2 linked regions of the Drosophila melanogaster genome follow. The protein of the gene in region 2 interacts with the protein of the main gene of each other region in a pairwise test. Each region holds a gene or a part of one and is shown on either strand. Other genes may lie near its edges.

Evidence for each region. Proteins that work in one complex are often made in the same cells at the same time.
Region 1: the proteins of Cpes (region 2) and CG5618 interact in a two-hybrid assay, tested with the Drosophila melanogaster proteins (one large-scale study listed by BioGRID).

Annotation. Positions count from the first base shown.
Region 1 is NT_037436.4:20,352,344-20,357,148, reverse strand, and holds CG5618 (uncharacterized protein), read right to left. Parts: upstream 3,230-4,805; 5' UTR 2,924-3,229; coding exon 2,744-2,923; intron 2,350-2,743; coding exon 2,162-2,349; exon of another isoform or gene 2,020-2,161; intron 1,845-2,019; coding exon 869-1,844; intron 805-868; coding exon 616-804; 3' UTR 517-615; downstream 1-516. Other genes in the region: kin17, read right to left, coding at 1-252; eRF1 (eukaryotic translation release factor 1), read right to left, coding at 3,595-3,704.
Region 2 is NT_033778.4:23,862,413-23,867,253, reverse strand, and holds Cpes (ceramide phosphoethanolamine synthase), read left to right. Parts: upstream 1-1,855; 5' UTR 1,856-2,142; intron 2,143-2,357; exon of another isoform or gene 2,358-2,494; intron 2,495-2,531; exon of another isoform or gene 2,532-2,652; intron 2,653-2,845; 5' UTR 2,846-2,905; coding exon 2,906-4,084; 3' UTR 4,085-4,292; downstream 4,293-4,841. Other genes in the region: Mtpbeta (mitochondrial trifunctional protein beta subunit), read left to right, coding at 1-501; CG5569 (uncharacterized protein), read right to left, coding at 674-814, 869-1,067, 1,481-1,731. UniProt on the Drosophila melanogaster protein: Catalyzes the biosynthesis of ceramide phosphoethanolamine (CPE) through the transfer of a phosphatidyl head group from cytidine 5'-diphosphate (CDP)-ethanolamine on to the primary hydroxyl of ceramide.

The DNA of each region.
Region 1 (4,805 bases), on a different chromosome or scaffold from region 2:
GAACCGCCGGCGCAGCAACTCCATGTAGCCGTCGGAGAACTCTTTGCTGAAGCTGTGCAGGAATTTGCCAGGATTGTCCGCAAAGAGGAGCAACTGGCGCTGGTGGGACTCGCTCATCGTGTGGCACTTGAAGCCGTTTTCATCGCGGCACTGCTTCTCGCACATCTGGCAGTACCAGCGCAGCTTCTGCAGACCCTTCGATTTCATCTTGTTGGCGAGGTACTTGGGCGTACCTACCTCGGCGCGACCCATCGTAGCGTCTTTTTATGTGCGTGGTTTTACAAATAATTTCTCAACAAAAACTTATTGTTTTGATCTCACGTAAAGGTATGACCGCGCTGGGGTATAACAACAATACCCGTGAACACTTTTATCGATAGTTACTGCTGGGGGATGTTCGTGTGACCAGGCTAATATTATTTGTTGATAGCGGTAGAAAATGAATTTAAAAAACTTAATATTCATTTCTTGAAAGATTTTTATTTAAATATTCAAAATAGAGATTAAGCCGAGTTTACATAATAAAGGCGTATTTTTTATCACAAAGTAATAACTACAATGAAATGTACAATTGAACGATTTCCATTAATTAGCTTAATTCACATAGAAAATAATTCAAAGCACAATTTTCTCGCCCAATCTCTCAATTTCGTCCAAAATGAAGTCCAACTCTTTGCTTTTCAGGATGGGAAAACAAGTGAAGACCATGCGAAAGAAGTTGCCCAGATTTTTAGCTTTAAGAGGCGAGTAACCAATCATCAAAGTGCCGCTGTGGGCCATTTGCTCCTTAATTTTCGGGGCCACCTTTAAAGGAGCATATAAAAATGTGAGCTTAAATGGTCTATCAAAGCCATTGTTATTCACTTACAGTGTAAAGTCGACTCCACCATTCAGGCGTCTCCTCCTCGCTGGACACCCTCATTGCTTTCGGAATGAACCAAAAGCAGACATTGGAGTACTCGTGCTCCGGGATCACCAGTCTAAAGCGATCTCCACGCTGGCGCAGCTTGCCTTCCAGCAACCTGGCGATGTGGATGGCGTGGTCCACCATGAGTCCATACTTTCCATATCCGCGAGCCTTAAGCATTAGCCAGAACTTGAAAGCGTCGATCTTGCGGCCGCACTGGACACTCTTGTTTCCCGTATCGTAGGATACATCATAGAACTTGTCCTGCTGGAACAAATAGTGCGCCTCGGTGCTGTTGCATCTTTCCAGCAGACGGCCAGATTCCCTGGTCAAAAAGAGTGAACACTGCAATGGAGCGCCGATGGTTTTGTGCGGATTCCAGGAAAACGAATTCGCCCGCTCGAGGCCGGCAATGAGCGATCGGTTCTTGGCGGAGAGTAGTGCAGCGCCTCCCAGACAGGCGTCCACATGGAGCCACAGACCATGTCGTTCCGTCACATCCGCCGCACCATTGATATCATCAAAGGCACCCAACACAGTGGTGCCTGCAGTACAGTTGACAAAGAACGGTTCACCGCCACGTGCCTTTGCCTCTGCGATCTTCGCCTCCAGGTCGTCCAACAGCATCTGACCCCGCTCATTGGTCCTCACCGACACACAGTTGTAGCTGCCCAATCCCAGCCAGTTGGCCGCCTTCACGAAGCTGTAGTGCGACTCGTCGGAGGTAAAGAGCACCAGCGGTCGCATTCCAAACATTCCAGACGTCTTCACCTCGGGCGCGATCTTATAGCGGGCCAGAACCATGCCGTACATGTTGGAGGTGGAGCCACCGGGCGCAAAGATGCCATCGCCTTCCTTGTATCCCGCTAACTTGCAGATGGTCGCGATCACCTCAGTTTCGATCAAGCTAAACACGGGCGCAACTTCGTAGGTGTATCTGAAACAAAAGTTTATTGTGTCTTGTTGGATACCTCGGTTAAAAGTCTGATTTTGGTAGTCCTATCTAGGAAATCTCATCTAAATGATTAATAACTTGCAATGATTGTGTATGAACTCTGCTTAATCCCCATTTAAATTAATCGAAAGGGGGGGGGGGGGGTTATGAAACATACATGTAGTACTTTGCAATCTCCATTACATAGCGCAATTATCTGTACGTTGAACCCCGACACCACTTGTAGATTGGAACACGAGATGCAATCAGCGGTCACTCATATAGACAAGACACATGTGTGGAATAAGGCGCAGACTTACGTGCTGCCGTTCATGGCCTCGGTGACCAGGGCTCCTGCCAGTCCAAACGGGTCCAGCTGGCCAAAGAGCTGATTGTGGAAGCGGCCGTGCGAGGTTTTCACAGAGTAATGGATCACCTGCTGGCACAGCTCCTCGATCTCCGCGAGCGAGCAGTTTTCCGTCTCTCGAACCTTCAGGTTAATCAGTTCCTGGAAGTGATGGTGCGAAATCATGTAATCTCAAGATTGTTATAGAACAGCGACTTTTGCAATAAGAAAGTATATTAAAGATTCAACATATTTCTAAAACGTTTTCTGTTTCGAACTAATAATATCTTTACCCAGAAAAAACCGACCATAATCTATGAAATAACAAACAATTCAATTATAATTAAAACTATCAGATACTAGCATGAGTGTGCTCAATCAGGAAGTGCTACTATCAATTGACTCACATTTCGTCGGGCAAGCCATAGTACAATTGCTACAATTTGCGGTCGGGTGGTCAATTTTCGAATGAACTCTTCCATTAATCAGTTCTCTGTTATCTCTGGTTATCTCCACATCGGCAGACGCCGAATCGTCTATCACTTGCTCCACTCACCTTAAGTTTGTCTGGCTGCAAAAAGGGGACTATCTTCTGCTTGTCCCATTTCTGGGGATCCACGCAGAAGGTATCCTCCTTCCGGAGAAGGTGGAATACGTTCTCCAGGATCTTCCAGTCGTCCATGAGGCCATCGCGAATCTGGTCAACAGTCTCTGCTCCATCCACTGATTCAGCCATACTACACTCGGTCGGTAGAAGTTTCCGTATCTCAATTGGCCAGTAAAAGGCTGATTATTTTTGGCTTTCGAGATCCGAACCTCTTCCGTCGACGATTCAATCAGAAGTGCCCCGTCCGACTGCAGCAGATTGTGTTTTAATGTTATCTTGATCAAATTCTCATCAAGTTGTAAACCCTCGTCTTCGCTCGCACTCAAATGGAAATACAAATGATCGGGGCTGTAAGAACACACATACACCTCCACGCTTGTGCTCTTTAGAGTGAACCTCGTTTTATTACGAAAGCGAAATAAAAGTGATATTAAAGTCGTGCATATTTAGGTTACTTAAACATACAATATATATCAATTAAGCACGTGCCTTATTAGCTGATTCGGCTTATCTCGTAACCAAAATCCTGCACAATTCGTTTTCTTTTCATCTCGACGCATTATCGTCAAATTCAATCGAAATTTGCATATTTACCCTATCGATTAAACAAGTTTCATGTGCATGCCACCAGAAAACTTGGTCAACTAATTGGATGCCCAACACCGCAGAACTTAGCTGAGCTTACTTTTTGGAAGTCTCGCTGCAATGATTACTTACAAATATTCAAACGAGTACGGATACCTGCACGACACTGCGGCTCAGAAACGAGTTTCAGCTCACCAGATGTATCTGAGCGATTCTTAGATGCAAATCAAGGGCGAAACAAGTACTACGAGTGCTTTTTGCTGTCGTCCACGTGCATTGCCAACTAATGAAGTGGGAATCTCGCAGTAAACTGTTTCCAGTGTGCCTGCAAATAGAAAGTAGAAAATGAAATGCCCATTTCACTTTACTTTCATTGCTGTACTGGTAGTACTCCAAGTGGCTACCAGCATTTTACTTATCCAGCAGATAGCAGAGTCGGAATTTTATCAGCTTTCGGTGCAAATTTCGTTTTCAAGCTATAATAGAACGATTAAAACTCACAGATACAATTCTCCTTGTACCCAAAAACTTTAGGAAACGTGGCGTATTGTCAATGTAGATTTAGATTTAGATTTATAGAGGAACAATTAATTATATAACAAGAGCTCTAGTCCCTCGAAAATATATTCAAATTGCAAATTTGTTCACGTAAAACGGTTGCATTTTAATATGTTTTCCTCGATTTAACATTTTATCGTTTGTATCTATATGCATTATTTAAAATTTTACTTTTTTCGCCAACAACGTAAAAATGGAAGAAGGTTTGTGTTTTCTCATATTATTTAAATATTCTATTTGATTTCCTGGATTCATATAGTTGTAGTTGCAGTTCAGTTTGCGGTCGAACGTAGTGGCAAATTCATTTCTACAGATACATTTCCTAGTAATCATCTAGATCGAAGCCATCATTGTCCAATTCATCGAGCTGCATACTCTGGAAATCCACCTTGTAGCGTAAGATACCTGCAGAGGCACACCCAGCAATTGAATTAAATTAAAATAAGAAACAAAAAAAAAAAAAAAATAGAAGAACAGAAGCTGATTGAAAATTGAAAAATAAATGAAGAGGAAAAAACAAAAGGATCAACACACAGGATAGTTCAACCGAAACTCAGATTCTCACCTCCTTTGTATCCACATTTAACTTTTCATACACTAAATAAAATATTTGTTGTACTTCGCGACTGAATATAAACGGATACCCCATCCTCATTGTGTGGTGTTTTTATTCTGGTTTAATTTTTATTACAATTTTATGGATTAGATTTGTATACTTTCTTATAACACTCGGCTATAATTTGAATAGGGGAAATGCAGATACGTTCGAAAGTGGCATGTGGCAGTTAACCGAAGATCTTTTGCTCCTAATACCGCAGTCGAAATCGAACCAGATGAACGGAGAATGCGCTAATATCTATCGCATCGC
Region 2 (4,841 bases):
GACGGAGCTTCTGCTTGCATTATCATGACCGAGGAGAAGGCCAAGCAGCTGGGCCTCAAGCCCAAGGCCTATCTGCGCGACTTCCTGTTCGTGTCGCAGGATCCCGTCAACCAGCTGCTGCTGGGACCCGCCTACGGAATTCCCAAGCTGCTCAAGAAGGCTGGACTCACGCTGAAGGACATTGACTCGTGGGAGATCCACGAGGCGTTCGCCGGACAGATCGTGGCCAATCTGAAGGCCCTGGACTCCGACTGGTTCTGCAAGACTTACTTGGGCCTGAACGAGAAGGTCGGCACTCCCGACCTGTCCAAGTGGAACAACTGGGGCGGTTCTCTGTCCATCGGCCACCCCTTCGCCGCCACAGGAGTCCGCCTCTGCATGCACACCGCCAACCGCCTGGTGCGCGAGGATGGCAAGTTGGGCGTGGTCGCCGCCTGCGCGGCCGGTGGACAGGGCGTGGCTATGCTCATTGAGCGCTATCCGGGCGCCACAGCCGACTGAAATCGCCAATTAATCGACAAGGAGGAGAGTGCAGTTTAACTGCGAGATTGCTAGCTTTTATACACCTTACAACTACGTCTATACGAATAAAGAAATCTGAATTTTACAAAACAGTTTAATTTCTAACAGAGCACCAGCCTTTCAAACAATCATTAGATGTGTCTAACTAATCCTATTCGGTCTCGTAGAGCTCCTTCTTCCGCAGCTTCGCTTGCAGAATGTCGTTCTCGTTGTAGGACAGGTGCAGCGGGGGTATCAGGGCGCAGGCCACCATTCGGTTCTCGGCATTCAGGAAGTTGAAGGTGGCACATGCCTGCAAAGAGTGCCATTCAATATGGATATAGATCGGGGAGTGATTAATACCTACCTGCTCCGTGCGCAGGATCTCTACGTTTATCTTGTACTTCTTCATGAACTCGATGATCCTCTTGGAAAGAGCTGGGGGCGGTGCTTGGTCGCCAATGCCAATGATAAGCACGTCGATCTTTGGCTCCAGGGTGGGGAAGAGACTGAGGCTGTCCTCGTTGATGTCCTCAAAGCTGTTGACGTTCCAGGACAGAACCGATCTGTAAGTAGTAAAACATAAAATTAAACTTTAGCTTCAGATAGTAACTTATGACATATTAATACTTATAAACAATATCACTATTAAAAGCCATCGAAAGCTTATAACTTAAACAAATAGAGGCTATAAGGTAAGAAGTTATTGAAATAATTAAAATTTAAATTAGCATTCAAAAAGCCTTTAACAACTATTGGTAGTTTTTACATCAACATTTTTTTGTATGAAACTTTAAATGAAGAAGTCATTCTCTTTGACTTTTCCCAATAAATCCTTGACTTCTGTTTAATAAACTCAAAGGCGTGCATAACTAAGCTTGGGATTGGGATTGTATGATCATCAGAGTGCCATGGCATAAATCACATGCACTTGTTTACATAATTGGGTGAGCCAATGCATCCGTCGAAGGCCACCTACCTGGGAAACACGGAGATGGGGCCAATGAGGACCATGTCGTTGTTGAGCCGGAAGCCGTACTGGCTGTAGCCGGTGACCATAAGGCCCAGATCCGTTTCGGTGTTGAAGATGGTGACTTTGGTCTTCCCGTCGTGGTCGTAGGCCTTGCTGAAGTTGGCCGGAATAGCGTGAAGTGGGCGACAGGCGGTGATGCGCGGTAGCAGAAGGTTGCGACCTTGCCGGCCCACCGTTCGCAGGGTGCGCGCAATCATGGTCTTGTGTTAGAAAAGTAATTAATGGCTATTACAACAATTTAAAACTATCAAAATAGACTGAAGTTGAAAAGTTTAACCGGTTAGAGTGACCGGAGGTGCCCAAAGCGCGCGGGCCGAATGTTATCGATAGCGCTGGATTCCTCGCTGGTGCACGATATTTTGCGCGACGCTGGCCACACTGGTCGGCCATTAATTTACGAAATTTACGAACAATTAACATAAACTTTTACATTTATCCGTGTGTTTTAGCAATAACTATCTATCTATGTGCTATTGTTGACTACGTCTAAGTGCCACAGTGTCTGCAGGCTGCAACTCCAACAAGTTGCTCGCATTACCCCATCGCAGTAATAAATACTGCAATGTTTTGATACAGTCTATATTCGTTTTCAATGATTCAGCAAGGCGGTGAGTGCCAATTCCCCCAACGCAATGGCCGCAGCTATCACCCATATCACCTATATCACTTCGATCGCCAATTCCAGCCCATAAATGGTTCCATTACCATATGCCCACTTATCAGGGAGCACCCCTCCACCAACACACGCACGCCCAATGAGTGTGTGTGTGTGTGCTGTGTGTGTGATGGATTGCTGCGTGCACGCACACTCCTGCAGCCAATTAGAAGCCCCGTTAATCGGCATTGGCAGTTAAAAGGTTACTAATAGCGCCTATAATTCCCAGTGCCTCGCCAAAAGCTTCCGCAAATACCTGCAGATAGTGGAACAGATAGTGCGCTGCTTCGGCTGGGCGGGCTGAGGTGGGGTGTGTGTGTGTATGTGTGGGTGCCCAAGTGGGCTGATTTAGTCATCCAGTACCAGTAACTGACCATATTGCTCTATTCTCCCCGCCTCTTTCGTCACTGCGGTCGCTCCCCAAAGTGTCAAAAATTCCTTCGATAAGAACGCATTGCCAGTGGTTAGTTGTTAGCTTTCACTCTTTGATAGCTGAGCATTATTATGATCGCATATACGATTTCAGAATTTCAGAAGGGGATTTCAAAACCCTGCATGTTGCTTGCCAAACTTTTTATGCCGTGCGCGGCTTATCTTGACAACTACTTCGCTTCGATAAACCATATTGATCAGCTTCACTTCTTTCCGCCCCACAGCTGCGCCCTGAAATCAGCCCGATAAGAACTTAGTGTTAAGCGCTACCTCAAAGTGTCACCATGATCGGACCCAGTTCGCAGATCAGCAAGATCCTGCTCACCCTGCTGTTCCTGCTGATCATCTTCTACGTTTTCATGGACGTGGAGCTCTACCTGCGCATCCACAACTATGCCATCGAGAGGAACTATCACACGAATGTCTCGCTGCCCGCCTCCGTCGTGGGTCCGTCCACCTCGGAGTCCGGGTCCGGCAGCATCGGTGGTAGCAGCAGCAGCAGCAGCAGCAGTAGCAGCAGCACCAGTACGAAACTACCCACCGCCGGCGACCGGCAGCCGTCCTACGAGGACCACACCTGGATATCCTGTGATATAAATCCGCTTTGCCATGTGACCGTGAAGGCCATTCTGTTGGACCACACCAACCACTACCTGTTCGCCCCGCTGGCCACCATGTTCGACAACGTGATCGGCTTCTCGCGCTCCACCTTCATCACGCCCAACATGATATCGTTTTTCCATGTGGGCGTGGCCTGTCTGGCGGGCAAACTGGTGGCCTCGGACAGCCTGGGCTATCGGCGGCTGGGCGTGCTGCTCTTCCAGATCCGCACCTTCCTGGACGACCTGGACGGGCATGTGGCGCGCGTGCGCAAGCACATACGCGGCGAGCGCTCGGAGATCGGCACCTCCGGCTACTATGTGGACGGCCTGTGCGACGGACTCGGCTGCATTGCGCTGCTGCTGGGCATATTCTTTTACCTGAAGAACAATCCACCGCGGAGGGGCTACTCGATCATACCCATGAGCGACTCCAAGCTGCCGGAGCCCACCATGATGATACCGAAGATGAAGGCCACCACGCGCAAGGTGGCCAAGAACGTGATCAGCTTCACGGGCCAGCTGCTGCTGAGCTCGACGGCGTGGAATCGCTACATTGCCGTCTACCAGAACATGCTGGAGCGCGAGGACGTGAGCGGCAACCAGTCGCATTGCCAGGATTACGTGTTCAAGTCGACCTGGTTCTTCTGCGTCGCCTGGATGTGGCGCATCGTCAACGTGCACGCCCTGCTGCACTGCGTCCTGCTGAGCATCTTCTGCGACAAGCTGTGGGACTTCCTGCGCGCGATCCGGTACAGCGGTTACATTATCCTGTTAGTTGCTATATGTTTAACTGAAATGCACATTCTGGAGGCCCAGAACTACATTTTCAACTCTACGGCGTGCAGTAATATTTCACTGTGATTTTACTAATATTACGAGAAAATACAATAATATTTGTGTAGTGCAAATCAGCGATGCCTTTTTTAATTGTGTATAAATAATAATGTATCATAATTGTTAGCCAATCATTAATATTTCGAAACCAACTAATGCATTTTGTCATTCAAGCGCGGTCTGCAAGAGCAATCGAAACTCCTTCAGCTGTAAATAATAAATGTTATTGATTAATAAAGTCTAGCTGTTTTTATCGTACGCATTTCCATGGCGAGCTAATTTCGTTTGAATTTATTTATAATGTTTTGTGTTTCGAAATTTCAAATGAACACGATGCGCAATGCTGCCAAGTTTTTTTTTGGTATAGCTGATGGGCAGCACTGCAAGGTTTGGTATTTTATTCGACAGTACCAAATGCCAATATAATTGCCATATTGTAATGTAATATATTGCTTAGATATTCATAGTGGCAATCAACGCTCATATAGTTTAATAAAGAGGCTATTAAAATTTATGTGACAATGCACTGTTTTAACTAAAAATAATACACTTTTAGTATATCTACCCGCCGGCTGGTATTTCTCACTAGCCCTGTTCGGCCACACTGCGCATACGTCAGGCGATACATACAAAGGAAAAGAAAATCAAAACGGAAAGCGAGAAGAAATGCTTCACTCGTCGTTTGAAAATTTGTTAAGCTGTCAATTGTAAATATTACCTGATTCCTATTTCGCACCGATTGAAAGTGGTTGTGCATCGAAGCGTGTGTTGTGTCAAGAACCGA